4 linked regions of the Tamandua tetradactyla genome follow. Each later gene encodes a partner of the first gene's protein in a complex. Links are inferred from orthologs where the notes say so. Each region holds a gene or a part of one and is shown on either strand. Other genes may lie near its edges. The genes, in order: TMEM237, B9D1, B9D2 and MKS1.

Evidence for each region.
Region 2: TMEM237 (region 1) and B9D1 share a complex: the UniProt entries of both Homo sapiens proteins name them as parts of the tectonic-like complex. The link is inferred for Tamandua tetradactyla from reciprocal best matches to the Homo sapiens genes TMEM237 and B9D1.
Region 3: TMEM237 (region 1) and B9D2 share a complex: the UniProt entries of both Homo sapiens proteins name them as parts of the tectonic-like complex. The link is inferred for Tamandua tetradactyla from reciprocal best matches to the Homo sapiens genes TMEM237 and B9D2.
Region 4: TMEM237 (region 1) and MKS1 share a complex: the UniProt entries of both Homo sapiens proteins name them as parts of the tectonic-like complex. The link is inferred for Tamandua tetradactyla from reciprocal best matches to the Homo sapiens genes TMEM237 and MKS1.

Annotation. Positions count from the first base shown.
Region 1 is NC_135329.1:176,262,959-176,270,104, reverse strand, and holds the start of TMEM237 (transmembrane protein 237), read left to right. Parts: upstream 1-4,136; 5' UTR 4,137-4,424; coding exon 4,425-4,687; intron 4,688-7,146. Other genes in the region: MPP4 (MAGUK p55 subfamily member 4), read left to right, coding at 666-800, 2,091-2,282. UniProt on the Homo sapiens protein: Component of the transition zone in primary cilia. Required for ciliogenesis.
Region 2 is NC_135332.1:2,671,364-2,678,725, forward strand, and holds the start of B9D1 (B9 domain-containing protein 1), read left to right. Parts: upstream 1-4,337; 5' UTR 4,338-4,463; coding exon 4,464-4,526; intron 4,527-5,525; exon of another isoform or gene 5,526-5,618; coding exon of another isoform or gene 5,619-5,666; intron 5,667-5,920; coding exon 5,921-5,989; intron 5,990-7,362. UniProt on the Homo sapiens protein: Component of the tectonic-like complex, a complex localized at the transition zone of primary cilia and acting as a barrier that prevents diffusion of transmembrane proteins between the cilia and plasma membranes.
Region 3 is NC_135342.1:22,441,381-22,448,746, forward strand, and holds the start of B9D2 (B9 domain-containing protein 2), read left to right. Parts: upstream 1-4,363; 5' UTR 4,364-4,426; coding exon 4,427-4,461; exon of another isoform or gene 4,462-4,542; intron 4,543-4,634; coding exon 4,635-4,726; intron 4,727-5,464; exon of another isoform or gene 5,465-5,650; intron 5,651-7,366. UniProt on the Homo sapiens protein: Component of the tectonic-like complex, a complex localized at the transition zone of primary cilia and acting as a barrier that prevents diffusion of transmembrane proteins between the cilia and plasma membranes.
Region 4 is NC_135332.1:39,209,162-39,216,551, reverse strand, and holds the start of MKS1 (tectonic-like complex member MKS1), read left to right. Parts: upstream 1-4,369; 5' UTR 4,370-4,413; coding exon 4,414-4,493; intron 4,494-4,861; coding exon 4,862-4,971; intron 4,972-5,998; coding exon 5,999-6,069; intron 6,070-6,881; coding exon 6,882-7,037; intron 7,038-7,390. UniProt on the Homo sapiens protein: Component of the tectonic-like complex, a complex localized at the transition zone of primary cilia and acting as a barrier that prevents diffusion of transmembrane proteins between the cilia and plasma membranes.

The sequences.
Region 1 (7,146 bases):
TCTGGGCTCTGTTTTTCTTATCCTGCCCAGTATGTGGCACTTGTCTGCCTGTGGGTCCTACCAGCAAAAGATGTGGCACCTTTAAGTTTGGAAGACTCTCTCTGCTGGGGGCGTGGTGGAGACAGAGGCAAGGTTGTAGGCTGGTTTTAATGGCTTCAAATTGAGTAGTCCCAATTTTTATGATCCTTGGGTTTTCCTCAGTCATTAAGAAATGGAATTATGTGCTAAAGAGAATCAAGGAAAGAGAGATTTGTTCTTACCTGGATCAAACCTTGTGATCAGTGTTTGGTAGAATGGCAGGAGTATCCAAGGAGAGACAATAGTGAGATGAAAGGGAAGTGAGGGTGAAAAGAGCTGGTGCACCAGAAGAGTTATATCTTTGTCCCATGGGAGCACATACAGAATCCTACTCTCAGATTTTAATAAGGGTGTCCTAGTTCATAAATGGAACTAGGTAGGAACACTTGTGTATTCTCTGAGCCTTATGTATTCTAGAGCTTCACCTCTTGATTATTAAAATGTTTGTCTGTCTTTTGGAGTTGAGGACTTGGAGGCACATTGAAAATATACTGTGGCTAAAAAATCATTGCTAATTTCCGGTCTCAGGAATTTTGAGAACATTCATGCTGACTCTAGGAAACTAGGACCTCTGTTTTTCTGTGTAGGATATTCAAGTGGCTCGAACCCATGAACTGAAGCCTTATGTTATATATATAAAGCCATCCAACATGAGTTGTATGAAGCAATCTCGGAAGAATGCCAAGATCATTACAGACTACTTTGTGGACGTGAAGTTCAAGGTAAGACACAGAGGAAGTAGATGAATTCTTTTTTTCTAGTAAAAAAGATCACTGCATATTTCCACAGGATTCTTATGTTATGGAATGCAAATTTTGTTTCTAATGTGTAATTTTCTTTTGACTTTTTTAAACTGGATATCAATTACAGATATTTTAAGTTTAATCAATGCTACAATGCTATCATTTTTCTTTCCTTTGTGGAGTTAGCTTAAAAAAAAAGGCCTCAAAGCCACAGTTTGCAAAAGTCCTTTTTAAACACAGAAATTGAGTGTGCAGAAACCTAATTGTATTTAAAAAGGACTATTAATTTTATAAATAAGTTCACTTGGAAGTTTAAAAATGCTGCAGTGAATATACATTTGTAATATGAGACATCTTTATATTATTCATCTTTTATTATTTTTATCTTCATATTTTTTCCAATGACTACATTACATGAAAGTCTGATTCTCCAGGTTGCATTTAGGAGCTTGGATACCATGGATGTAGTCTCTGAATATTACTAGCATTTAAAGTGTTGTGTTTTCATTTTGATGTAGTCCAAACAAATTAATACAATTGTTTCTGATCAGGTATATGGCCACTTTGTAAAGGAGTATTGCTACAAGATTTCAATGCCTGATTTGCATTTGGGTTTATGACTTCATTGGCAACAAGCAGTACTCTTTTAGTTGCAATGGACAAATAAGAAAATAATAGCAATGAATTTAATGCCCTAGCAACAAGTGAAGGCTAAATGACCTTCATTAATGAATGGACATTTCTTAATAGCTACAGTGCAGAATGTTATAGCTAAAGTCATCATGAAGTAAATGCAATTTAGGTGTGCCTAATTCAATAGAACTGGTTCATACCTGCCAGTTATCATCCTTCCCTTTGGAAGTGGCCATTTTGTATTGCAAAATATTGTCATTCTTAACAGATGAATATTCATTTGAATTTTATGTTTAAATTTTATTTAATTGGGAAATATGCTTTGGTTTTATGTTGTATTTGCTCTGATAGCTTCAAGTGTTTAGATAATATAATAAAATAACTTAAATCTACATGAGAGAGAGGGAGTTGTCTGTCAATTAATCATCACTCAATTTTGTGAAACATTGACCAGGGAAAAACTGAGTAAGATTAACCATAGAATCATAAATTTTGTGGTTTAGAAGAGAGTACAATTATTGACCTAATTGTTATTTTAAATAACTTCTCAACTGAATGTGACAGCATAAAAATTTGCATTACTTCTATTTGTTCCATTAAATCTGTGCTAAACGTATTTTTCTATTTCTTCTGAAGGAGGAAGACTTGCAAGAAATGGAGGATATAGCCCAAAAAATGGAGTCTCAGTTTGGCCAGTTTTTTGACCATGTGCTTGTGAATGACAACTTGCAAGATGCATGTGCTCAGTTGTTGTCTGCCATAAGGAAGGCTCAGGAGGAGCCTCAGTGGGTCCCAGCAACATGGATTTCTTCTAATGCTGAATGTTAGGGAGGCGGGAGTTTAATGTTGGAGTTTTAAGAATGTACCTTTGTTACAGGGATCTGGAATAACAACTGCAATGTAAAACATTGATCCATGATAATGTGTGCAATTTAAAAGTGCTGATGCTTATTAATTTATCTTATTTAAATCAAATCTTATTTAAATGAAAAAAGCTTTTCCTTTACTTCATTTGCAACAATGATGAGAACATGAACAAAGTCAAATTATGGAGGATGAGAACTTTTCATTATTTCACATGGTCTTTGTAGGATTTAGATAAAAAGAGCTTTCTTGAATAAAATAGTGTTTAATTTCAGACACAGTATTTTACTTTATGAAATTCGTTTAAAGAAAATGTCACATGGTGCCTACACAAAAAGTGTCTAGTTGCCTAAGCAAGAAAGAAGAGTTGTATACACATTTAACATTAAAACATACAGAAACTGCACTGCCCACAACATTTATAAATCAAGCTACAAGGAAAAGTCATTCTTCTGATTAGGTCTGTTCCAATCATTGATCTTCGTAAAAGCCATATCCTTATTTATGCTTAAATTAGGAAAAGGTATTGGACTTAGTCCTAGAAACAGTATATGAGAAAAACACCTGATGAGGATGTTAGTCCATGAAAAGTCTAAAGTGTCTTGATTTTTCTTTCTTCCTTTGGGTCTGGGACTTCCAGTCACTCTCCCTGTTTCTGTATCTATTTATATTCTTTTACCCTTTTTCTCCATAGTCACACCATCCCACCACCCCTTTCTTAACCATAAAACAAACTTCAGTGCTTCAAAATATTTGTAGTTCTTTAAAGTGAGTAAGTATATTATTTTTCTTTAAAACCCAACCGGCCAACCAAAACTTTGTAGAAAATTAGTTTTTAATGATTATGTGAGCCCGGATTTTATTTTATAATGTAAACTTTATTAAGTATAATTTATGTACAATATATCGCATTCATTTAAAGTGTGCAACTTGATGAATTTTGACAGATATATCTACATATGAAACTACCGCCAGTCAGGATACAGAATGCTATCCTTACTCCCAAGTTTCTCCATGCCCCTTTGCAGTATACTCTTCCCTCTAGCTCCCTCCCCAGGTAACCACTGGTCTCCTTTTGTGTGAGATCCACTTTTTTTTTTTTTAAATCATGACACGGATTTGATTTTATGTTGCGGTTCTTCGAGAGAGAAAAAGGTTTCCCAAACTCGATTTACACAATTTTGAAGTGGAAGATAAACAGCTGGAGAAAAAAAAGGGGGGGGGGATTGCCTGTATCTCCACACACACACACACACACACACACACACACACACACACACAGGGGGGGATTGCCTGTATCTCCACACACACACAGGGGGGGATTGCCTGTATCTACACACACACACACACACACACACACACACACAAAGGGGGGGGATTGCCTGTATCTCCACACACACACACACACACACGCCCTGAAACTGTGCGCCGGGGTGTGTGTGTGTGGGGGGGGGCGGTATGGGGAGGGAGACAAAGGGAGAGTGTCGTCCCTAATCCCGCCACCGCGGAAGGCAGAGCCAGGCCCAGCAGAGACGGGTAGGAAATCCTGCTTCCCGGGCGGCGGCCTAGTCAGGAGCGCCCGGAGCCCCCGCCTCCCTCAGGTCCCGGAGGCTGCAGAGTTGCGGGGAATCGGGCTTGGCCCCACGGCGGTTTTGCCAGCAGAGCCCGCGGAGGAAGAGCAGCATGAGGCCCGAGTCGGAGCCCCGGCTGGCGGAGAACGTCCCGGTGAGCGGGGAGGGCGCGTCGGCCGCTGGAGGCGGCGGGGTGGGGGGCGCCCTAACCCAGCAGCCGCCCGGGGGCGGGCCAACGCCCGCGGACGGGGGCCGGGAAGCGAGGGCCCAGCCCCCAGGGTTCGCGTATTTGCCCCTCCCGGGCTGATAAGATTGGGGAGGAGGCCGGACCACACTCCCGGAGCCCCGCGAGAAGCTCCCAGGGGCCCGAGCGCCCGCGTTGTCATGACACCGCCGCATTTATTCGCGGTTTCCGCGCTTCAGCTGAGGCCTATCTTACCGCTCCTCCGCGAGGGCTTTCGGCTGCCCCGGAAAGACAGGGCTGTTTGCGCACGGAGACTTTTCATCATGATCTTCCCTCACGTGCCCCAAAGAAATGACCGCAACTACTCAGGAAACCACGGGAAAAACCGTGACTGTTGCTTCACGCCTGTCGCAGCGGCTTGGCCCGGCACGTGAACCTCCTCCTCGAGCCCCTTTTTCCGCCTGGGCGGACTGGAGGGGTCGGACCAGGTGCAGGCTCTCCTCCTCGCTCCCACCCCGCCCCAGGAGGCCGCGGGCGGAGCCGGTGCCGGGCAGCCAGGGAACTGCGGCTGCGCGCAGGGCAGGGCGCTCGGGTTTAGGATGGGAAGGAAGCAGGTCGTGAGACAGTTACTTTTATTTATTTGAATCGTGAAAATTCTGTGTTCAGTTGAGGCGACGTGTGTTTTAAGGGCTTACTAAAAACTTACTTGGATTTCTAGATGGGTGAAACGTCATTTTTGCGGGACTTTTGAAGGGAGGAGTTAACGTTTGAACTGGGTTCTTAGATAGAACGCGGTCCACGGCATCTTCAGAACAAAGGCGCATCCGTCTGATTACCCTTTTTTTAAGTTGTAATTCTGACTGCTGTACATTAAGACGGTTTGCCTAACCTTATAGCGTTTGAATTAGTATACTGTTGGACGACAGCTAAATGGAACAAACAAGTGTCTAACATTTAACAGTTTTTATTTTTGTTAACATTTTAATCACTTACTTTGTGTACACTTCAGTGATACTAATGTTCAAGTTACATCCACAATACTGTGCCATCATCACCACAATCTATTACTAAAACTTTTTCATTAACTCAAGCAGACTGGGTATTCATTAATCCATTAAGCAGTGATTTCCCATCCCCCCTCCCTTGGTAACCTGTAATCTACTTTCTGTCTGTATGATAAAATTTAATCCTTTAGCATCAATGTCCTTTAAAAGCAGCATGAGATTTTTGGAGTGGTAAGCTGATTTCTAAGCCTATCTTGTTAGTATTTTTTTTTTAATTTTTAAATTAATTTTTAAAAATATGACAAAGGAAACATTCTAAGCATATCATTCCGTTCTACATATATAATCAGTAATTCACAATATCATCACATAGTTGCATAGTCATCATCATGATCATTTCTTAGAACATTTGCATCAATTCAGAAAAAGAAATAAAAAGACAACAGAGAAAGAAATAAAATGAAAAAAGAAAAAAATTATATATACCATACCTCTTACCCCTCCCTTTCATTGATCACTAGCATTTCAAACTAAATTTATTTTAACATTTGTTCCCCCATTGTTTATTATTCTATACGTTCTACTTGTCTGTTGACAAGGTAGATAAAAGGAGCATCAGACACATGGTTTTCACAATCACAGTCAAATTGTGAAAGCTATATCATTGTTCAATCATCATCAAGAAACATGGCTACTGGAACACAGCTCTACATTTTCAGGCAGTTCCCTCCAGCCTCTCCATTACATCTTGAATATCAAGGTGATATCTACTTAATGCTTAAGAATAACCTCCAGGATAGCCTCTGAACTCTGGAATCTCTCAGCCATTGACAGTCTCATTTCACTCTTCCCCCTTTTGGTGGAGAAGGTTCTCTCAATCCCTTGATGTTAATTCTCAGCTCATTCTAGGGTTTTTCTCAGTCCCTTGATGCTGAGTCTCAGCTCATTCCAGGATCTCTGTCCCACGTTGCCAGGAAGGTCCACACCCCTGGGAGTCATGTCCCACGTAGAGAGGGGGAGGGTGGTGAGTTTGCTTGTTGTGTTGGCTGGAGAGAGAGGCCACATCTGAGCAACAAAAGAGGCTCTCTTGGGGGTGGCTCTTAGGCATAATTTTAAGTAGGCTTGACCTATCCTTTGTGGGGTTAAGTTTCATGTGAACAAACCCCAAGACTGGGGGCTCAGCCTATAGCTTTGGTTGTCCATACTGCTTGTGAGAATATCAAGAATTCAACTTGGGGAGGTTGAATTTTCCCCCATTCTCACCATTCCCTGAAGGGGACTTTGCAAATACTTTTCCACTCACTGATCAAATCACTCTGGGATTCATCTGGTCATCACTCTGGACGAACCAACAAAATCTCATGTCCTACCCAAGGTTCCATGTACTTATGGTGTTCAACCAAGCTATCTACATAAGTTATATTAGGAAATGTACCAGTCAAAATATAAATTTTGTACCAAAGAAACATTTTTTGCTTTAGTTTCACACATAAGTTGAAATTTTAATATATTAATTACCATCTATTTTCAGCACCCTCCAGTAATGACATTCCTTTGTTCTTCCTCTTGCAAAAACATTTTTAAAATTTGTACATTTAGTCACTATCATTATACACTCTAGGCATTCCTAGATTATACCATCTCAATCTTTATCGTCTATCTTTCTTTCTGATTTCATTTATGCCCCTCCTCCCTCTATCATTTTCATATCCAGCTTCATTCAGTGTTTAGTATTTTATTTTGAATGATTCCAGAATGCTTCTTAACTGTAATGCTTTCTGAATTGCAAACACAAATTTTCCTATTCACGTAAAGGAGCATTTAGGTTTTTAACTTTTTTGTGGTGGTTGTTCTTGCTGCCCTAAAATCCGTACTTCAAGTTAAATTCATAGTGATCTTTTAAAAATTACTCTATCACTATAGATTTCCTTTGGTTTCCCACTGAATTAAAACAAAACTCAGAGGATTCCTCTTGGTTTAAAAGACCCTGATGAATCTGGCCCTTGCCTTCCTCTCATTGGTAAATGCTGTAGCCTTGCTGGCTTTTTTTTAAACCTGGAACACTCCAA
Region 2 (7,362 bases), on another chromosome or scaffold:
CCAATAGGCCAGAGGTGGAAAATCCCCAGGTGTCCTTTAGCAGGTGTGTGGAGAAATGAACCCTGGTGCCTCCCCATGGTGGCTGAACATCCAGCCGGCCACAGGAATGAGGCCCTGACACACTGCAATGTGGACCAACCTCCACGACATGATGTTGTGTGAACGGGCCAGACACAGCAGGGCAGCTATTGCAGGATTCCTATAGAAATATCTAGAATAAGCACATTCATGGAGACAGAACGTAGAGGTTCCCAGGGATTGGGAGGAGGGGAATAGGGAATTATTGCCTAATGGGTGCAGGGTTTCTGTTTGGGGTGATGAAAAGTTTCGGTAATGGATGGTGGTGATGGTGGCACAACATTGTGAGTTTAATTAATGCCCCTGAATTGTGCACTTAAAAATGTCAAATTTAGGGTGGATCACGGTGGCTCAGCAGGTAAGAATGCTTGCCTGCCAAGCCCGAGGACCCGGGTTCGATTCCCCATGCCTGCCCATGAAAAAAAAAAATGTCAGATTTCATTATGTATATATATTTCATTATACATCCCAGCCCAGGCAGATGGGTGACTTTACAGTGGAGCGAGGACACCCAGGCATCACCCTACCCCGACCCCACTGATGAACACGCAGAGCCCTGGAGCAGGGCAATGACTTGCCCAGGGTCACGTGGCATGTTAGAGACAGGCTAGGGATGGGAACCTCCGCTTTGGGCTCTGCCCCTGACCCCAGCTCCCTCCTGGGGACCTGTCAGTCTGCTGTGCTGCTGGAGTCTGGGGGCCCTGAATCTTCTGCACCCTCCCGCCCCGGCCCTCAGCTGAGAGCTGAGCTCTAGGCCTGGGGGCCCCCAGAGGGTCCCCAAGAAGCCCCCATCCCCTCATGCGTGCAGAGTAACAGGCATTTGGTAAGTGACTCCAAAGTATGCACCCTCCTCCAGGCCCCCCTGAGAGCTTCAAGTCCAGTCGGGGCCACCAGAAGACAGCACTGGTGTGGCAGGCCTGGGGCCAAGGGGCTGGGGGGCAGACAGCGTGGGGGTCAAAAACAGGGGTGCTTTACCCGGATGTCCATGTTCCATGGGACGCTTTGGGTCACAAGAGGTGGAAAGGGCATCCGAGGGAATAGCAGCTGCAAAGTCGAGGGAGTGGGGCAGCTGTCATGCCCGTCGGGAGCATGCTGGGGAGGGATCGCATGGCGGGGTGCAGGGGAGGCAGGGGGCAGTGGCAGGCGGAGCCGGAGGGACCATTGTGGGAGGCCTGTCCCCCTGGCACAGACCCCAGGGCAGATCTGAAAGCGAGGGCTCTGGCAGCTTCCTCTTCCCTGGGCCAGTTCCCTCTGGCCGGGTGCATGGGCCTCACGGGAGCCGATGGGAGGAAATTTGAGAGGTTAAATGTCCTGGGCTGCCAGCGAGAAGGCCAGACGCACCTGCACCCCCTCCAGAAATGTCGCCACTTCTTCTGTTGCTGCTACTGAGTAAAGAGCAGTGGGGAGGGGTCCTGGGCAGTAGAGGGAAAGGGCCCACCCCTTGAGGACTGAGCATCCAGATTTTCTTAAAATCAGTCACCCGGTCTTGGGTTAGATTAACAGGAGCACGGGGTCCAGGGCAGAGAAGGTGACAGGAAGTTGCAGGGAAGCTGTCTAAGTTGCAGGGATAGGGAAATGGCCTTTAAAATCCTGAGGGTGGGGCAGGCCACAGTGGCTCAGCAGGCAGAGTTCTTGCCTGCCATGCTGGGGACCTGGGTTTGATTCCTGGTGCCTGCCCATGCAAAACAAAACAAAAAAAATCCTGAGGGTAGGAGCTGGTTGAAGGCTCTTGTAAAGGGGACCCAGATGCCATAGGAATGATTGAGCTCCCTGTCTTGAGAGGAAAGCAAGCAGAGTTGATAATGAACTTCGGGACGAGAGGGAGAATTCTGCTTGGTAGAGGGTGGGCCTGTGAGCTGGTTTTTCTAGGAGCCCTGAGAGCCAAGGAGGGAAACCTGGTCAGAGTTCCCAAGACCTCTGGCCACGGTGCCTAAACCCCCTCCTCCACTCTCTACCACTCACCTCCCAGGGACCCTTCTTCCAAGAAGCACTCCAGGTTGCAAGCCATAGGGATCCAGGAATTATACAGGCAGGAGTGTATGCTCTGGGGTGCAGAGGGGGAGCATGGAGGCTCCAGTCCTGCTCTGTCCCCTCCTGCTGGGTGGCCCTGAGATGGTCAGTAAGCCAACCAGAGCTCCCACCTCCTTCTCTGCCGAGCCACACCTGCTGCCTGGAGGGGAGCTGGGCCTCCAGCAGTTTGCAGGCTCCATGGAAGCCTCGGGAGAGGGAGGCTGGGGAGGCGACCTGGGCTGGGAGGCCAGACACGAGGGTTTCCTTGGTTGAAATTCCCGGAGATTTTGACTAGGAAGGAGCCACTGCCCCCAAGTGGCCCTGGCAACAGAGGAAATGTGGGAGCAGGTACAGGCAGACCCCTCCTCCCACCCCAATCCTGTACAGCATCTGCCCAAGCCAGTGCCTTTCACCCCCTGCCCCGGGGTGGCCCGTGCCCCAGACCCCCCTCCCGCCCCCCTGAACTCCTGTGAACCCCTCACTCCACCCGCACCCTCCCAATGCCACCAGACTTCGATCGAGCTCAGCATGGCCACCCTCCCACCCACTCCCACTCCACCCTGAGGTCTCCCATTTCCCCAACATCCAAGACATGGGGCCAGCCTGCCCCTGCCCCTTGGGGAACCCCGCATGCTATGTCCTGTTGAAATGGGGGGCAGCCTTTTTCACAGCCAGGCTTTAAAGAACCGGTCACCCCCTGCTTATTCTGTAACCTCAAGCATTTTGCTACCAACATACTTCTGTGCAACACTCGGCCTGAAGAGCCATAAGAAGGAAAGAAGGGGGCGGTTTGTGGAGTTTGTAGGAATAAGCATGTTTTTTTTTTTATTACTATGATTTCTTTTATTAAAGAAGCTGTAGATTTACAGAAAATGCAGAGTTCCCATATACACCCACCTTATTATTAACATCTTGCTTCAGTGTAGTAATTTGTTACAACCCATGAAGGAACACTTGACTGTTGTCCTATTAACTACAGCCCCTGGCTTGGGGTGAGGGGGTGAGAACTGTGCTGCACAGGCCTAGGTTTGCTCGTTTAAATTTGTATTCTAGTGATTTTAAATGGCGAGAAACAGCGTGAGTGAGGGGTGTGACCAAGTGCCCTGGGGGAGAGGGGGCAGCTCCTGCCTTGTTTCTCCCAGAGGGGCCCCCAACCCATCCGGCCTCCCCGCAGCCTCTCCTGTCACATGTGAGCCCACAGCTCGCCTTCCCCCAAAAGATTTCTCTGCTCACCTGGTGGGGGGGGCTGTTTGGGTGGAGCTGGGCTGTGACCCCTCCCTCCCTCCCCTCTGGGGTGGTTGACAGCCCCCCCCCCATCGGCTCTCCAGCAGGCACTGGGTGCTAAAGGGGTGATGGCCTGGGCTCCCTGCTCCCACGGCCTCCCTGAAGTCTGTGCGCCTACGCCCACCTTCCTTTCCTGGATCCGGGAGGATGCCTGGATGCCAGTCTCGACCCACTGGCCCAGCAGCAACTTCGGGGCTGTCGTCCCGCTGCTGCCCCTGAGTGTCCACGTCAGCTCCCCAAGCTCTGAGTCCCAGCTGCCTTCCCTGCTGAATGGGGGGTTCTCTCACCCATTCATCAAGGAGTCTTCCTTGAGCACTTCCGACGTCGCCCAGTGGGGCTACACACCTGTCCTGGGGCGGGCTGGTCCGGAGGGGGGCAAGCGTCAGCCCCGACGCCGACGCGACAAACGTGCAGAACAAACCTCAGTGGGCGCGGAGGGCTCGAGGGCGCAGGGGACTCGGGGGCGCGGGGACCGCGGGGGGCGCAGGGGGCGCGGAGGGCGAGTGGTGCGCGGAGGGCTCGGGGGCTTGGGGGCGCGGGGGACGCGGGGACGCGGGGGACGCGGGTCCCCTGTCAGCAGAAGCCGGGGCCTTGTCCGAACGGCCTGCGGGCATCGGACAGCGCCTCGGTTTCCTCCGAGGAGCCTGGAGGGCCCCATTTGCTGGATGGGCTCGCGAGCTATCCCCAGGGCCCTGGCAGCCCCCCACCGTCCTGCGCGGTCCCCGCCGTCCTCCCCGCGGGCCACAGCGACGCCTCGCGGCCGAGGGCGCCCTCCTCCCCTCAGCGGCCAGCTCCGGGCGTGACTGCGCGGGGCTCCGGGCTCGTTCAGTTCCCTGCCTCCAGCGCCCACGCGCGCCGGACGGTCTCGGTTCGGGCCCGGAGACTCGCGCGGAAGCCCCGCCCCCAGGGCCCTGCAAGCCCCGCCCCTCCCCTAACGCCTGGGGACGGCGCACACGCAGTTGTTTTCGCGAAGGTCGTGCTGCCGAGAAGCGTGTCCTGTGCGGCACGCCGTCGGTTTCCAAGGCAACCCCAGCGCCTCCTAGCAACAGCGCGCTTGGCCCGGGTGGGTTCCCCGCGCCCCCAACCCCGCCATGGCGGCCGCGGTGCCCAGCGTCTTCCTACTCATGGTCAACGGGCAGGTGGAGAGCGCCCAGGTGAGCGGCCGTGGGCCCCGCCGCGGGCCGGCGCCCCTCTTCCCCCGGGCTCGGTGTGGACCCTGGCGGGCCGGGTCGCTCCCCTGAGACTCCCTCGGTGGCGCGCGGACGGAGCCGGCATGGGCTAGGCGGGGCACGAGCCGGGTGGAAACTGAGGCCTTGAGAAGCTGAGTCGTACCCAGGTCACACGCCTCGGACCCGAGTCGCCGAGGACCCGGCCCGGCGGGCGCACGGGGCCTCGTCCTCGCGACCCCGAGTCCAGGGCGCCCTCTGAACCCAGGTATCCTTGAGCTTGGGCTCGTAGGGCCGGATTCAGGTCATAGGACCCAGCGATGGTGACCGGGGCCTAGAATGTACCAGGGAGGGTGTGTCAGACAGAATGCTTATCCCCCGACACTTTATAAAGACATTTATTGTTGTAAAGAAGTGAAAGCCAACGTGCACCAAGTACGTGCCGAACACTTCTCATTTAATCCGCACAACCACCCTTGGAGGTACACCCCCACTTCACAGACGGGCACACCTGCCCGGGGGACTGGCAGAGCTGGGATTTGAACCCGTCTTTCCGACTAAAACAGCTCTGCTACAACCTTTCAGGAGGTTGGAGATAGCGTTTATTATTGTATTATTGTGAGGATTAAATGATCTGGTTTAGGCAAAGCTCTGCCAGGGCCTGACACTTAGTGGGTGGCTCCTATCTTCCCCAGTTTTGTCAGGGAAGTTTCTATCTTAGGTCTGCCCTCTCCACCTCTCCCTTGGCCTAGTGCCCAGGACTTTCTCCCTGCCCCCACCTTCTCGTGTTCTATCCCATTAGGGGGCTCTCAGCTGGCCTGGGCCACATGTGTCTGAGAACTCAGACTCCTGCCCCCCTTGCCCTTTCTCTCCCTTTTCTTAGGCCCCTCCCATTCTCCAGGCCCTCTCGTGCTTCCTGTGGCCTTCCTCGTTCTTACACCTTTCGCTTTGGTACCAGTCCCTCCCACCTTTCCTGTGCCATTGCAGGGGTCAGACCTGTTCACAGTCTACTAGGATTGACAGACAGATATGTGCTATCAGTGCTGTGATGGAGGAAAGCACAGATGCTGAAGCGGCCAAATGGCGGTCCTTCAACCAGCCGGCGAGCTGGGGCAGGCCTCCCAAAGGGTGAGATTTGAAGGATAAGCAGGGATTTGCCAGGACTGGGAAAAGCATGTCACACAGGAAGCAGAGCCTGAGCAAAAGTCCAGGGGCTGCAGCAGCCTGGGATTCTCAGGGTCCCACTTCTCAGCCCCAGCTGTCGCCCAGGCCCCGCATCAGGTACCTCCTGTGCAGAACTCCTCTTGGCTGCACCTGGCTCGCTGCTGTCTGTCTGAGCCCGAACTCTCGGAGACAGAGCCTGTGTGTGCTTGTTTCCACAGTTCCCGGAGTATGACGACCTCTACTGCAAGTACTGCTTTGTGTATGGCCAGGACTGGGCCCCCACGGCGGTAAGCTGGACTCCTGGTCCTCCCTCATGGCGTCTATCACGCCCTTCCCCGCCCGGTTCAGAGCCAATGGAGAGGTGAATCCACAGTTTGGAGGGGAACCTCAACAGGAGTTTGTTCCTGGTAGGGCTGGAGTGGAGAATGCAGCCATGGTTGGGTGGACTGTCACTTCATCCTGCAGGCTGCCCTCACCCGTGTGCACGGTCATAGCAGCAAGGAGGAGCGTGTGTGCAGGCAGCAGGCCGGCCCCAGAGAGCCCACATGGGGCCAGTTGTGACACTGCGGGCCAGTCCCCCCATTGTGTGGCATCTCCTCGGCCACGGGGACAACTTCTGAGAGTAGGAAGGCAGCCAAGAGCTTTCTTTCCAAGATTTCCCAGAACAGTCTGTCTCTAGGCTGCTTGGGCAGTTGAGGAAATGAAGGGCCAACTTGTTAACCCCCGAGCCCCAGTTTCTTCATCTGTACAACTGAGGTAATAGTGCTCGTCTTCCGTCCACTTCTTCCTTGGGTGGCAATTTACTGAGAGCCTTCTGGGTGCTGGGGAGACAGTGGTGAACAAAACAGATAAGAGTCCCTGTCTTCCCAGAGTGCACATTCTTATGGCAGAGAGACAGACAATAATAGTAAACGTTCTCGCCTGTCAGCTAGCAATAGGTGCTGAGGGGAAAGATAAATTGGGAAGGGGTATGAAGGAAAAGAGGGAGGTTGGCCTCTCCATCCGGTAGTCATGGAGGGGCTCACAGATAAGGTAACTTCTGAATAAAGAAGGAAGGGAAGGAACAAGCCACGTGGAAGTGTATGGAGATAACCTTCCAGAAAGAGGGAGCAGAAAGTGCAAAGGTCCTGAGACAGGAGTGGACCTGGCATGTTGAAGGAACAGCAGGGAAGTTGTGCAGCCAGTGAGCAGAGTGAGGGAGCAGGGAACTTGAAGGCGAGGCAGAGTAGTGGTAGAGGGGCGGGTTTCATAGGGCTTTGAGGTCAAAATGCGACCCTGTTCTTTACCCGGTGACGTGAAACCCAAACCCCATCTGAGCACTGGGAACCAAGAGCAAACATGGGGTCTGACTTCTCTTTTAAAGTGATCCCTCTGGCTTCTGGGTTGAGAACAGGCTGTGTTACAGGGGAACAGGGACGACAGCAGGGAGACCAAGCTGATGGTTACAGAAACACCGATGTGGGTGGCAGTGGGAGTGGGGAGGGCGGTGGGATTTTGAATGTATTTTTAAGGCAGAACCAGCAGGTTTTCCTTTTGGCCTCGCTGTGGGGTACAAGAAAAAGGGGAGTTGAGAATGATGCCAAGGTGTTTAGCCCCAGCACCTGGCAGCAGAGAGTTGCAATTAAGTAGAAGGCTGGGGGTTAAGCCAGCTTGGGGGAAG
Region 3 (7,366 bases), on another chromosome or scaffold:
GAGAAAGACGTCATGTGCTACTTTCTCTCCTGGCTTCCCGTTTCATGAAGCTCTCCGGGAGGCATTTTCCTTCTTCATCTCCAAAGGTCCCTGGCTTGTGGGCTCTCTGCTTCTCATGGCTATGTCGTTCTTCTCTGCTCTCTATGAATCTCCTTCTTTCTCCAAAATGTTTTTTCTTTTATAGGACTCCAGAAACTTATCAAAACCCACCCAAATGGGTGGAGGCATGTCGTCACTTAATTCAGTTTAACAACCACTCTTGACTAAATCACATCATCAAGGGAGATGATCTGATTACAGTTTCAAACGTTTAGTATCGAATAGGGATTATTCTACCTTAATGAAATGGGATTTTGATTAAAACATGGCTTTTCTGGGGGCATACATCCTTTCAAACCAGCACAGTTGGTATGCTTAATAAATAAAATTAATTAAAAAAAAAAGGGGGGCTTGACTAGTCATCAGCAAAGCACAATGCCACACCAACACACACCCATCAGAGGAAAAAGAGAGGCTCAGAGGAAAAAGAGAGAAATACCAACGGCTGGTGGAAGAGGGGAACCACGAAGGCACTGCCACTGGGAGAGCAAATTGGTTCAACCCCTTGGTAAACTGTTTGGCAGCTTCCTCTATAGCTGAACATGTCCTGTGATTCAGAAATTCCACTCCAACAGTTGTGGACCATGTCCACCAAAAGAGAAATTCCCACCAATGGTAGGATGCAGAACTAGTGGTGTCTTCACACAGTAGAAACGATACAGCAATGAAAAAGAAAGAGCTACAGCTACATGCAACAGTGTGGATGAATTTCATAAAAACACTGAGCAAAAGACTGCAGACACAAGGGAATATATACTGTGTGTGATTTCATTTATATAATGTACCAAAAAATAGGCAAAACTATTCCACATGAAAGGGACAGAGCCATCACTTAAATGCAAGCAGTTGACCTGTGGAGTCCATTTTCGTAATCACTAACCAAAACCAGTGGGGAAGAAATCAACTGAAAAAAAACACTTAAGAAAGGGCACTGACCCCAATCTTGGGGTTTGTTCATATGAAACTTAACCCCTCAAAGGATAGGCTAAGCCTACTTAAAATTAGACTTAAGGGTCACCCCCAAGTGAGCCTCTTTTGTTGCTCAGATGTGGCCTCTCTCTCCAACCAACACAGCAAGCAAACTCACCACCCTCCCCCTCTCTACATGGGACGTGACTCCCAGAGGGGTGTGGATCTTCCTGGCAACGTGGGACAGAAGTCCTAGAATGAGCTGAGACTCAGCATCAAGGGATTGAGAAAAACCCTAGAATGAGCTGAGACTTAGCATCAAGGGATTGAGAAAACTTTCTCCACCACAAGGGGAAGAGAGAAATGAGACAAAATAAAGTGTCGATGGCTGAGAGACTCCAAACAGAGTTGAGAGGTTATCCTGGAGAATTATTCTTACAGATAATATAGATATCATCTTTTTAGTTAAGGTGTAATGGAGAGGCTGGAGGGAACTGCCTGAAACTGTAGAGCTGTGTTCCAGTAGCCATGTTTCTTGAAGATGATTGTATAATGATATAGCTTTCACAGTGTGACTGTGATTGTGAAAGCCTTGTGTCTGATGTTTCTTTTATCTACCTCATGGACAGACGAGTAAAACACATGTAGTAAAAATAAATAAATAATAGGGGGAACAAATGTTGCAATAAAATTAGTAGATTGAAATGCTAGTGATCAATGAAAGGGAAGGGTAAGGGGTATGGTATGTATGAATTTTTTTCTGTTTTCTTTTTATTTCTTTTTCTGAATTGATGGAAATGTTCTAAGAAATGATCATGATGATGAATATGCAACTCTGTGATGATATTGAGAATTACTGATTATATATGTAGAATGGAATGATCCTGTGGGAAGAATGTTTGTGTTTGTATGATGGCATGTTTAATAACTAAAATAAAAAATTAAAATAAAAAAAGAAAGGGCACTGATAGGACTTAATGAACAGTTAGATAGTGGAAGTTATGAAGTGGGGGGTGACCTCCAAGCACAACCTTCAGACTCCTTCGATACCTGTGTGTATCAAGACAGGCAGGATAACAGGTAAATTAACTTAAGGTTTAAGGACAGAGATAGAAAAGAACTATGATCAATTTGGCTAAAGGCAAACGATTTTGTCATAATTTCTTCATATTAAATGGGGCCTATAATATCACCTACCGGGTGGATATCTATGAGGATTAAAGCAGATAATGCATGTAATAGGGTCAGTTCAGAGGCTGGCACAGAGGCAGAACTCATTAAATGGTAGCTTTTTTTTTTTTTTTTCCTTACATGGGCAGGCACTGAGAATCAAACCCGGGTCCTCGGGCATGGCAGGCAAGCACTCTTACCTGCTAAGCCACCGTGGCCCGTCCATGGTAGCTTTTAAATACATCTATTAATGAGATAATCCTGTTCAGTTATTTTATGTCTATATAAATGTTATATTGAAATGTTGCCCCATCATTTCGTGTTGGTGAGTCTAACTTTTGAAGTTCCTGTTTTGCTAAAAATACGGAATCAGTTCTCACTGGAGTCCTGGATCGGGTGGACATAGAAACTGGGGATGGGAAAGGCACTGCGCAGGAATTCAGGTGAACACGGTTGACTCTAGCCCACCCTCCCTGCACCCTTTGCATTGATGAGATAATTGAGACTAGACCCGGGTGGGGTCACAGGAGACCTTATTGGCGGAGTCCAATCTTTAAAAACGAGATTTTTGCAGATAAACAGTGGCTCTGTTTCTCATTTCTCATTTATTCACCCTGGTCTTGTTCGATACCAGCAATATGGGGGAAGAGGGACTATTTCTGAAAAGGAAGTTGAACTTATCCGTCCTTAAGCGGCAGGGGGTAACCTCTAAAAATGGAAGGAAATCCTCCTCCCCAACTTCTGGAGTTTCTCCGAATGGGGAAGGACTTCTTTCCAGTTATGAGGCAGAGGGATGCACACAATGACCTGGAGGGCATGTCCCCCTTGACCTTATCTCAAGTCTCTGGTCTGTGGTCCTGGACGGAAGAGAGTGTTTCTTTGGGGGGTGGGGGGTGGGGGCACTGAACATGGACTGATGCACTTATTTTGTTAAGAGAGTATCTGGGTGCAAATATCCCAAGAAATGATCATGATGATGAATATGCAACTATGTGATGATATTGTGAATTACTGATTATATATGTAGAATGGAATGATCAAAATAGAATACTTGCGCTTGTTTGGTGTTCTTTGGTATTTAAAAAGATAAAATTAAAAAATTTAAAAAAAAAAAGAGAGTATCCGGGCCCTCTTACAGGCAATCCCAACCTCCCAGGAGGCAACCAGTGCAGTTATTTTATCACTGTAAAGAAGGTTTGTCAGTTCTGGAACTTCCTGTAAGTGGAATCATACGGTAAATATTCTTTTACGTTGGACATTTTCTACCATGTATAAAATTTCTGAGGTTCACACATGTTTTGTATATGTCGGTAGTTTTTCTTTTCATTGCTGAGTAGTATTTCATTGTAAGAGTATAACAATTCTTTTAAAATCTATTCTTTTATGGAATTTTGAGTTATTTCTAGTTTGGGGGCCATTTACAAAGCTGGAGTAAACATTTTTGTACAAATCTATTGTGAGCACGTGCTTTCATTTCTCTTGACTAAATAGCTCTAGAATGGAATTATTGGTGATAAGTTGGGCATATATTTATATTTATAAGAAACGACCAGTTTTCCAAATGGTTGAACACTTTTTACTCTCTAATCAGCTAAGAGAGAGAGAGAATATCTGGATAAAACAATTGGAGCGCAAACTTCCTCAGCCACACTCAAGATGGCAGCCGTCCATTCGAGCCCAAGTGTCTGAGAGGAAGGAGAGACGCAGTTTTCCCCAACCGGAACGAGACGGGAGGAGAAAACAGTCAATCACATCCTTACCCCGCCCCCTAAGGACGCCAGCACCAATTAGCGACGCGCAGGGCGGATCTAAGCCTGGGAGGAGCAGGCTGCTGTTGCCCAGCAACAACCAGGGAACCCGGAGGCTGGCGCCGCCGCGGAAAGGCCGCCGCCTCAGCTCTCTCGCTGCCGGAAGGAGCCTGGAGAGGCGGAAGACAGGCCTGAGAAATCAGCGCCCGCTAAGAGAGGGACAGGTTAGCGCCATGGACTGCAATACCCGCTGACACTTTCGCACCCCCTAAACGTTATGTGCGCCGAGTTCGGAACGACGCATGCGCTGCTCTGAGAGGTGGGGCTAAGGCGGTCCTGCGCCCAGAAATGCAGAAACGACGCATGCGCCTCCTGGAGCGCGGGGCCGATCCATGCAAGGGGCGGGGCTTTGCCCCATGTGGGCGGGGTCTTACGCTCCTGGGGCGGGGCTTTCCGCTGTACTGAGCCGGAGGAAAGTATTTTGGGGTGGGACAGTTAAAATGCCAGCTTCTCCGCCCAGCCTGCCTATCTTTCGGTGACTCTTCTGGGGTGACAGTAAGGGTGTGGTTAAATACACAAGCCCGCAGGGGGTTGACGAATCTGGCCTGGAACCTTGGTACTGCCACGTACTTGTCGGACCCCAGTTTCCTCAACTATCATGTGGAGATAATGCACTACCTCACTGTGCTTCTAATTCTCTCCTCTCAGGGCCATGGCCGAGGTGCACGTGATCGGGCAGATCAAGGGGGCCACTGGCTTCTCGGAAAGTAGCCTCTTCTGCAAGTGGGGCGTCCATACAGGTATTCTGGTCCCGGTTCATTTCTTCACCCAGACCCCCAGCCCAGAGGCTCGGCTTTCCTTCCTGATCCTCATCTTCCATCTGCCCTCCGAGTCTGCGCCCAAAGCCCAGTCACCATCCTCATGAGTCTCAGGCTGTCTCAGTAGCTGAGGGCTCTGGCTCTTACCCTCGGAACACACAACCTCTTAAGCATATGGCACTGTAGGCTGTACCCCTCCACTTCCAATCCTCAAAACACTACGCAGCCCGAACTCTGTTTGGACTTCACTCCCTGGCTTAGGGGTGCCCTTAGACTCTCCCTCATCTTAATAATTCTTTGATTAACAAATTGCTGCTATCTTTACAGTTCTTAGTGTAAAGTAGATGTTTCTACCCCATATTTACAGAGGAGAGCTGACCCCCTGGTGTTTATAATTCTCCGTGAAGGTAGCCCACCATTCTGGCAGTCATTCAAGTCTGTCCACAGAGGCAGGCCCAGCAAGGCTCCCAACCCCCCAATTTTCCCACCTTCCCATCGGAGGCAGTATGTGTAGGGGTTAGGGCCACCAGCTCTGGGTTCAAGTACTAATTCCCCCATCAATTAATTGGGGACCATTGGGCTTTCCCTTTCCCAGCCTCAGTTTCTTAAGATAAAAAGCAGCTAAGAGGAGTCACCATGTTGAGGTCAAGAGCATAGACTGCGTTGGTTCAAAAACAGTTGCTACTTCTTAATTATGTGACCTTGCCTCAGTTTCCTTACCTGTACGACAGGAATGATAACAACCTATACATCATGGAGCTGTTGTGAGGACTAAATGAATAGCAATAGCACTTAGCACGTGGTCTGGCAAGCAGGGTTTGCCTGGCTCATATTAGAATTTGAACGGGTCTTGTTTGTAAGGCACCAGGTAAATGACCATGCAATGAGTGTGGCTGTGGCTGTCACTTTCCCTGCAGGCCCCAGGTCCTCTGTGACCTCACTGGTGGGTGGTGTGGTATTGAGATTCCCTGGAAGTTCAGAGTAGATAAGAGGCAGCCTGTAGAGACAGCCCTAGTTTCCAGTCTGGGCCCCACCATTCATCTGCTTTCTGACCCTGGGCAGGTGCTGTCCCCTCTCAGAGCCTCAGTTTCCTCATCTGTAAAGTGGGAGTGGCATTCACCCTCCATAGGTTACTGGGAGAGCTGGTATGTGAAAAGCCTGACTCAGGGCCTGATGCTTTGCTCAGCCAGCCTTGAAGGGAGCAACGACTAACATAATTTGCTAATCTGGGGAGTTGTTGGGGATTGGGGCGGGGGATGGGGGTTAGTCCTGAGGAGAACTCAGGGGCAGTCAGATCAAAGGCTTGGGCTCCATGGTCAGACAGAGCTGAGTTTACTGTGGGACCTTGGTCTGCTGTGGTCACCACTATGCCCCAAGCAGCACCTGGCACACAGCAGGTGTGTAATACATGTTACTGGAATGAATGGTCAAGTGACTTTCCTTCTCAGAGCCTGTTTCTTTACCTATAAAAGAGTATTATATTAGCACTCACCTCATAGGATTTTTCATTTACCCAACAAACTTTTATTGAGAGCCTTCTGTGTGTTGGGTTTGAGATCCTGGGAATAGGCCAGTGAACAAAGTCCCTGCTTTTCCAGTGTTCACAGTAGGGGAGACTGAAAATAAAACTAGCAGATAAAGAAATGAGTGCAATGATTGCAATAGTGGTCAATGCTAGGAAGACAAGAAATGGGATGAAAATGTTAAAATAAATTTAGTTTGAAATGCTAGTGATCAGTGAAAGGGAGGAGAAGGGGTATGGTGTGTATTGTTTTTGTTTTTTTTTTCTGTTTTCGTTTTATTTTTATGTTGTCTTTTTATTTCTTTTTCTGAATTAATGCAAATGTTCTAAGAAATGATCATGATGATGAATAGGCAACTATGTGATGATACTGTGAATTACTGATTATATATGTAGAATGGAATGATCACATATTAAAAAAAAAGTGGGATGATGTGGAAGAGACAAGTTTTTGGATAGCAGGGCTATGGAGAGCCCCTCTGGAAATGGCACTTGAGCTGAGGCCTGAAGGATGAAAAAGAGGTAGCCATAGGGAGAGCCAGGAGTGGCAATTTCTGGGCAGTAAGTGCAAAGGCCCTGAGGTGGGAATGAGCACGGCACACTGGGGAACAGAAATAGGACCAGTGAGGCTGTAAGTTGGGGAGGGGGAAAAGCGATGGGAGCTGAGGATGGGGGTGGGGGAGGGCTTTGAGAGCTGGGGGATGGGGTGGAATGGGTGGGGATTAAGAATCCTAGAGGGTGGCTTAAATGAAGTCATTACCTAAAGTGCTTCATACAGTATCTGGCATGTAGTGAGCACCCAGTATGCTTTTGCTATTGTTATCACCCCTCAACAGAATTGCTATTCTTCCACTGTGCCCCCATAGATGATACCCTCAGCCCCATCTTAGTCTTTGCACTAGGATTTTTAATGTGGGGGTGGGAATAGTGATAAAATATCAAACCCTTACCCAGCACTCACTATTTCCCAGGTGCCGTTCTAGGGGCTTTTTCTGTATTAACTCTGATTCTCTCAAAGAACGATGAGGAAAGTATTATTCTTACACCCATTTTACAGATGAGAGACTGAGGCAGAGAAAGTTATCTCACCCAAGGTTGCA
Region 4 (7,390 bases), on another chromosome or scaffold:
GGAGAATATCAAGAAAGGGAGATTGTAGAAGCTGAATTTTTAAGTGCTTGTGTTTCTAAACAATTGAAATCTGTTCTTGCAGAGAGAGGGGCATATAGGAGCCAAAATCATCCGAGTCCTGCCATCTAGAACACCCCTATTGCTCCATGTCAGGACATGTCCCTGGAGACATGGGCTAACCTGTTGGGACCTGTAGGGAAGAATGGAGCTGACTAAGATAAAAGCAATTAATTATCAAAAGCTTAGTATGTTTCTTAGGAAAAGGCATTTGAGATCTGGCTGGGATTTACAAGCAAACTGCTTCAGAGGCTCAGCTTCTGGGTATTGCTGACCTATTTTGGTCTCCTACTGATTCCGGTAACGTTCGTGTGATAATAGTGGTCCCACCTGTTCTACTTGTTGACACACTGCCTGTAAGTGGGATTGGGAAATGGTGGGATGCTCAATGCTCGCTCTCTTGGTGCACTAAGTTGGCCTGAGTTTTTTCTGTCTTTACTGTAGTCCAAGGTGGGAATAGAACAGGGAGTCTATAGAATGTAAAAGAATATTGCCTGCATTCCTGGACCCTACACTCCCTCCCCTCCCCCCAAAAAGGATATTACTTGCAGATTGTGATCATAAAATCAAAGCCTTCAATGGTCCACGATGTTTCTGTATTATGGTAAAATAATTTATGAATAACATTTGTGGTAGATGCCGCTGGTGCCCTGCCCATGTCTCCTCACCCACGAATACACTTTGAGAATCCCTATTCTACACCATTTGCCAGAGTTCCCCAAAGGGATGAAGCTCTGGGTGTCTTCAGTGGAACTTGATTGATAATGCCTACTTTAGGCTTTGTTTCCTTACCTCCTTTCTTCCCCCTTCTCAAACCAGCATTTCCTGGATCACCTCCCCAGAGCGTTACTTGTAGCAGATGCTTTTGGTCTCATTCCCAGGTCCTCTTTACCAGCTGCTGAGAGTGTTAGCTGCTCCTTTACAGTCAACCCCTATCTCCAAACCAATGATCTGTTCTCCATCTCTATAGTTTGTCCTTTTCTAGAATGTCATATAAAAGAAATCATATAGTATATATAGCCTTTTGTATCTGGCTTCTTTCACTTAGCATATTGCTTTATGTGTCAGTAGTTCTTTCGTCTCTAAGGTTGAGTATATTCCATTAAATAAATATTGTACAATTTGTTTCAATATTTACAAATTATTGTAGATAAATTTATTTGATGAATAAAATAAATATTGATGAATAAAGTTTACATACAGGTCTTTGTGTGAACATATGTTGTCACTTCTTTAGAGTAAATACTTAAGAGCGGAATTGCTGGGGATCATATGGTAGGCAAATGTTTAGCTTTATAAGAAATGTCCAGTTTTCCAAAATGGTTGTACTATTTTGCATTCTGATCAACCCTGTATGAGAGTTCTAGTTGTTCCACATCCTTTTCAGCACTTTGTATTGTCCATCTTTTAAATTTTAGCCAATTTAATAGGTGCGTAATGGTATTCCATTGTGGTTTTAATTTGCACTTCCCTGATGACTGATAATGTTGAACACCTTTTCAAGGACTTATTGGCCATTTATATGTCTACTCTGATGAAGTATCTGTTAAAGTATTTTGGCCACTTAAATAATAAGATTGTTTGCCTTATTATTACTGAGTTTTAAGAGGACTTTATGTATTCTGGATATAAGTCCTTTATCAGATATGCATGTGTTTTGCGAATATTTTTCCCAGTCTGTTTCTTGTATTTTCATTGTCTTAACAGTGTCTTTCAAAGAACAGAAGTTTTTCATTTTGATGAAGATCAATTTATTAATCTTTTCTTTCATAGTTTGTCCTTTCTGAGTTCTAAGAAGTATTTACCCAGCTCAGGGTCTCAAAAAATTTCTCCTATGTTTTTGTCTAGATGTTTTACAGGTTTTTTTGCTGTTGTTGGGAGTGGGGGTGCATGGTCTGGGAATCGAACCTGGGTCTTCCTCATGGAAGGCGAGCATTCTATCACTGAACCACCTGTGCACCCTAGATGCCGTACAGTTTTAGCTCTTACTTTTACATCTCTGATCAATTTTGCTGTAATTTATTAAATTGCTCAAGGTTAGGGGCTGAGGATTTTTGCTTTTTGTGGTGTGTGTGTGTGTGTGTGTGTATGAATGTTTCCCTGATGTCTGGATGGTAAATCATCCCAGGATTATTTGTTGAAAAGACTATCCCTTCTCCATTGAAATCCTTTGGGACCTTTGTCAAAATCAATTAACCACATATATATCTATTTATTCTGGGCTTCTCTTCTGTTCCATTGGTCTTTATGTCTACCTTTATGCCAATACCACATTGTAGTGTTCACCATATAGTTATATTAAGTGTAGAAATCAGGTAGTAAATGTTCTGATGTGGCTCAGATGGGCCTGGATTAGGAAATAAAAATTTGGGAAGGAGCTGGGGATGGGAGTAGATTTAAGGAGGGAGCACTGTTCAAAGGAAAGCCCATAGGTTTGAGTCCAAGATGTAAGCTAGACTCTACGCCCCCTTGTCATGGCAACTGTGGGAAATTCAATTAATGTCTTGGTTTACAAATACATAAAAGGGAGACAAGAATATCTATAAAGTCTGTAAAGATAAAATGAAATAGTATATGTGCAAGTGTTTTCTAGACAAAGCAATTTATACAGATGCTGATGTTATTTCAGGGAGAACACAGTGGATATCAACTCTGAACCACAGAGGTGGGGTGGGGTTGAAGGCTTATGGATGATGGAACATGGAATTTTGGCCTTTATGCTGCATAGTCCAAACCTTTCATATGAAACAAGATGTTAGAATATGAATGTAGTAGGACCATTCTTGATATCAGGGTATAAATTCTTTCCAGAATCTGATAAAAATCATGAACTCTTTCCAGAAAATGTCCCTCACTAAATTCTAAGAAAGGGGTTCACAGATTCCTTGAACTCTACTTAGAGACCCTCATTTTAAGGATTCCTGATTCATATGTACCAGTGAAAAAGAAAAAAGCATGAAAAATATAGTTTACCTGTATAAGAATAATACTAATTTTAGTCCCTTATATAAAGAGCTTAAATTTCCATACCATGTAGTATATTTACTATTTTGCATACAACTATGTCAGATTGACTTTGTGTGCATTCAATTTGGTTATAACATTAAATTGTTTATTCACAACTGTGAAAGGAAAATTTAGAGTGAACGTTTCTTAAGAACTAGTATTCTGCCTCCATGTTTCATCTGTTGAAATAATTACTTACCAGACTGGAAACTGTGTTCTCTCTCTCATGGAGCAAACTGATCGGTGAGAGCCTTTGAAGTGCAGTGTAAGGTGTTCGGGTTTCAGAAAAAGATAAACTTGGCCTGGAATCCTAGCTCCTTTACCACTCACTAGTAGTACAACCTTACTAAGACCTATAATTCCCTGGACTTCATTGGCTTCATCTGTTAATTGGGAATACCTACTTGAAGAGTTTCTATGAGGATTTGGGACAATGCATACAAGGTACATAACAGGGGTTATGGTGCCCCAGAATTCCCAGAGCCATATAATCAAATGGCATGAGATATGAGTTGAGGAGACAATTGCTTACTCTGTTGGGAGAGTACCAGATGTCAAAGACTAATAAATGTTGATATCCCCAAGGTGCCAGGGAGCTAGACTCAAGGTTATGGTGTGTCCTGCCTATGCTAGTTCAATGAAGCATGTCTCCTGAATGGCACTTTGTTGGTCTTTCAGGACGCCAGTGCAGTTTCTAAGGTGGCTTAATGACCCAGAACTAACATACACAGGGGAAGAATCTGTTCACTAATAACATTTCCCCCTTCCTTACTGTTGACTTCCTTGTTTTTTCTTTCTCTCGCTTAGTGAATGCCAATGCAACGACTAATGAATGGACACCACCTTATTTTCCTCTCCAAGGATATAGTTTCGATTGTGGGTAAGTGCCAATCATCTTCCCTGACTCCTTTGGAAAGAGTGGGTGCTTTCTTTGATTCACGTTCATCAGTTTTCAGGCCAAAGTTTTAACGTTCAGTGGAAGGCGGTGTGGCAGAATGGAGATAATGGGCGTGGGCCACCTGAGTCCCTATCACCATTCTTCATCTATATGAAACGAGCTGATGGTTGGGCCGGTTTCTTTATTTGTAAATGCATCAAGTCCGGCCTTGGGTATGAGTGAGCTTTGTTCATACGCTGACCAGGTGAGACGCTGCCGTGGACCGCCTTAGGCGTTCGGCTGCGCCGGGACTGCACGGGCCGGCGGGCGGGCGGGCTGCGGGGCCGCACCGGGATTGCGCGGATTGCGCACGCAGCGCCTGGGTGTCCCCGCGAATCCAGCGTCTTCGTTACTAGGGAAACCTGGGCGGCGCGCTTTCCGGCGCTGTCGTGGCGCGGCGCTACTCTGCGGTCATGGCGGAGACCGTCTGGAGTCCTGACACTGCGGAGGCCGTGTATCGTTCCCGCGACCCCGTGCGCAACTTGCGCCTCCGGTAGTCGCACCGCCTTGGCATGGAGTCCTGTGCTCCCCTCTCCCGCCCCCCAAATAATTCGAGCCTGACTTCTTTTCTCGCTTTTCTGACTCCCCGACTTCCGTTTTCAAACCCGACCACACACACCCTCCTCGGCCTCCCAGCATCACGCTGCCTCTCAGGACGCCTCTCCGCTTAAAGACCTCCTCTTAAGTTCCTTCCCCACCCAGATTCGTCAGCACCCGCGCCCTACCGACTTCCCCTTAGTGGCCTGCACCCAGAGCACCTTAGCAGCCCTGCCCTCTGCTTTTCCCCCCACTATCCTTGCTGTGTTCAGTTCTGGTTGTGTGTCTTGTAACGCGTGTTTTGGGCCTCTCTTTTCCTGACAGCGTCCACCTGCAAAGAATCACATCAAGCACCTTTTTCCAGTACCAGCCTGCTGCCCAGCCTGGGAAGGACCTCATAGACTTGGCAACTTTTAGGCCCCACCCGAGCGCCAGTGAGTGTTTTGGTGGTGATGTGGCCTCCTGGGAATCTGGGGAAGAACCTGTTGTGGTAGAGTTACTTTTAAGATGGAGCACACTCAGGTTTATGTGTGAGTGTGAGAGAAATCACCTTTTTCAGACTAGGCAACTGCAGTACAGAGAAGTTGGGTTCCTTGCCCAGGCAGTTTTAACTACTACACTAGGTTGTGTATGAAAATTGAATAAGCCATGATTCCTGCCATTGAGACATTGATCTGAATTGTGGTCAAATGTAGTAAAATAACAAAGCCATACTTTAGAAATGTTGAAGAAATGACAACTTTAATACCATTTTTCCCCTAAGAGAAGATATGTTCCGAACTCTAAATGATGTGAATGCTTTGTTAGACCATTTTAAAGTTGAGGATTGCTTGAAGAATGCACATGTTAACATCGACAGTGCTGTTGTGCTTTTCCTTGTCTGGGAATCCAGAAGAGTTGAGGAAGAAAGCACAGTGTGCTTGTGTAAGGTTACTAGTCTCTCTGGTTTTATCATGTTTCTGTTTCTGTTAAAAAATATTCCCAGAAAACATATGGGCTGGAGGGGTGTGAAGTATGTGTTTCTGAAAAAGGCACGCTCAGCCAGGAGTGGGTTAGATTTGGGTCTTTTAAAAATTTTATGCTTCTACATAGATGGCTTCAGTGTTCCTTTTTAGTAAATATAGACAGTTGAGATTAAGGAAGGGCTGTCATCCTTTATCTAAATTTCAGCCCCTTATACTGAGTTAGATTAAATGATTCCTGGAAGGCAGGGCTACCTTTAACTCAAATTAGAACAGTATTTAAGACTTCTTCGGTTTTAATTCTGGCTTTTGCACATACTAAACAGAGCCCATGCATAACCTCTCTAGTTTCTGTCTAGAGTCAGTGCTAAAAAAACCATCGAATTCCAGCTATTTTTGAGCCAGACATAAGAGCAGGGACTTTGATTATAACCATCAGAGGAGTAAGAAGTGGTCCTGGTTTGGCTTCAGCAGTTGACTCGGTCTGTTATCTTTGAAGGTGGACACCGTCCGGATGAAGATGAAGAGGAGGAGGTGGTGATTGGTTGGCAGGAGAAACTGTTTAGCCAGGTAAGCCAGTGTGACTTGTCCACTGAATCTTCCTCCACTTGGTCCATTTCCACTTGGATGACTGCAGGGAAAAAAAACCCCAACTTTGAAAGAGAGGGCTGTTGCCATAAAGGTGCCCTAGACCCATGTCATTATTTATTTATTTATTATTTATTTATTTATTTATTTATTTATTTATTTATTTATTTTTGAACATGGGCAGGCACTGGGAAATGAACCCAGGTCTCCGGCATGGCAGGCGAGAATTCTGCCACTGACCCACCATTCTACCACCCCATGTCACTAATTTTAAACTATTTCAGTGAATATTTTTGTATTAGACCCTGTTTTACTCTGGTTATTTTCTCAAATTAGATTCTTAGAAGTAACATAACTAGATGAAAGTATTAGTTTGGAGATTCTTGATACATATCACTAAACTGATTTCCAGAAAGACTGTAACCATTTATACTTTGCCTTGTAGTACAGGGGCAATAGAACATAGTGAAAAATAGCCCTGGCTTTGAGTTCAGGTAGACTTGCGTCAAATCCTGACTGCCACTAGCCAGTTTTATGATCTTGGGTAAAGCACTTTTCACCTCTGGGCCAGGTGCACTCTATAACAGGGAAGTTGGATTAGACTGTTACTCTTATTCTTCTTACTTCTTAACATTCTTTGAATACCCTGCTCTCTGTTAGCCTGGATGAGTGAGAGTTGGTTATGAAAACATGTCAAATAGCATTTGTTCTATAGAACTGGTTTAGTTAGAAAGTGATAAGAACCACAGTTAGAAGTACTCTCAGTAAACTCTGTTTTCTTTTGGTGACCTCAGTTTGAGATAGATTTGTACCAAAATGAAGCAGCCTGCCAGAGCCCTTTGGATCACCAGTACCGTCAAGAGATACTGCAGCTGGAGAATTCAGGCGGCAGGAAAAATCGACGAATCTTTACCTATACTGATTCTGATAGATACACCAACCTAGAAGAGGTATTTTTCTTTCCAAGGTCCCATCGCATCCTTCTCTTTTGCCTCCCTTACTTACTAGCCTCAGTGAGTTCTGTGTATTAATAAGAAGCCTGTTATGGGGAAACAAGTAGCTAGCCCAGAAACTGCTGTGTGCTGCTGGCAGCCAAACTTGATTGAGTGGGCACAATCTGCAGATGGTGTGTCTTCTGCTCCCTTCTCTGCCTGCTGGTGGCCCTGGCAAAGCTGGCATGGATCAGCATCTGTAGTGATAGGCTTGCACATTGCAAATGGGGGAGAAGCAGTCACTGAACTTCTTCCATGCATCATGAGGTGAGACAGAGAAGGTAGAGTTTGGAACAGTTTAGATAAAATTC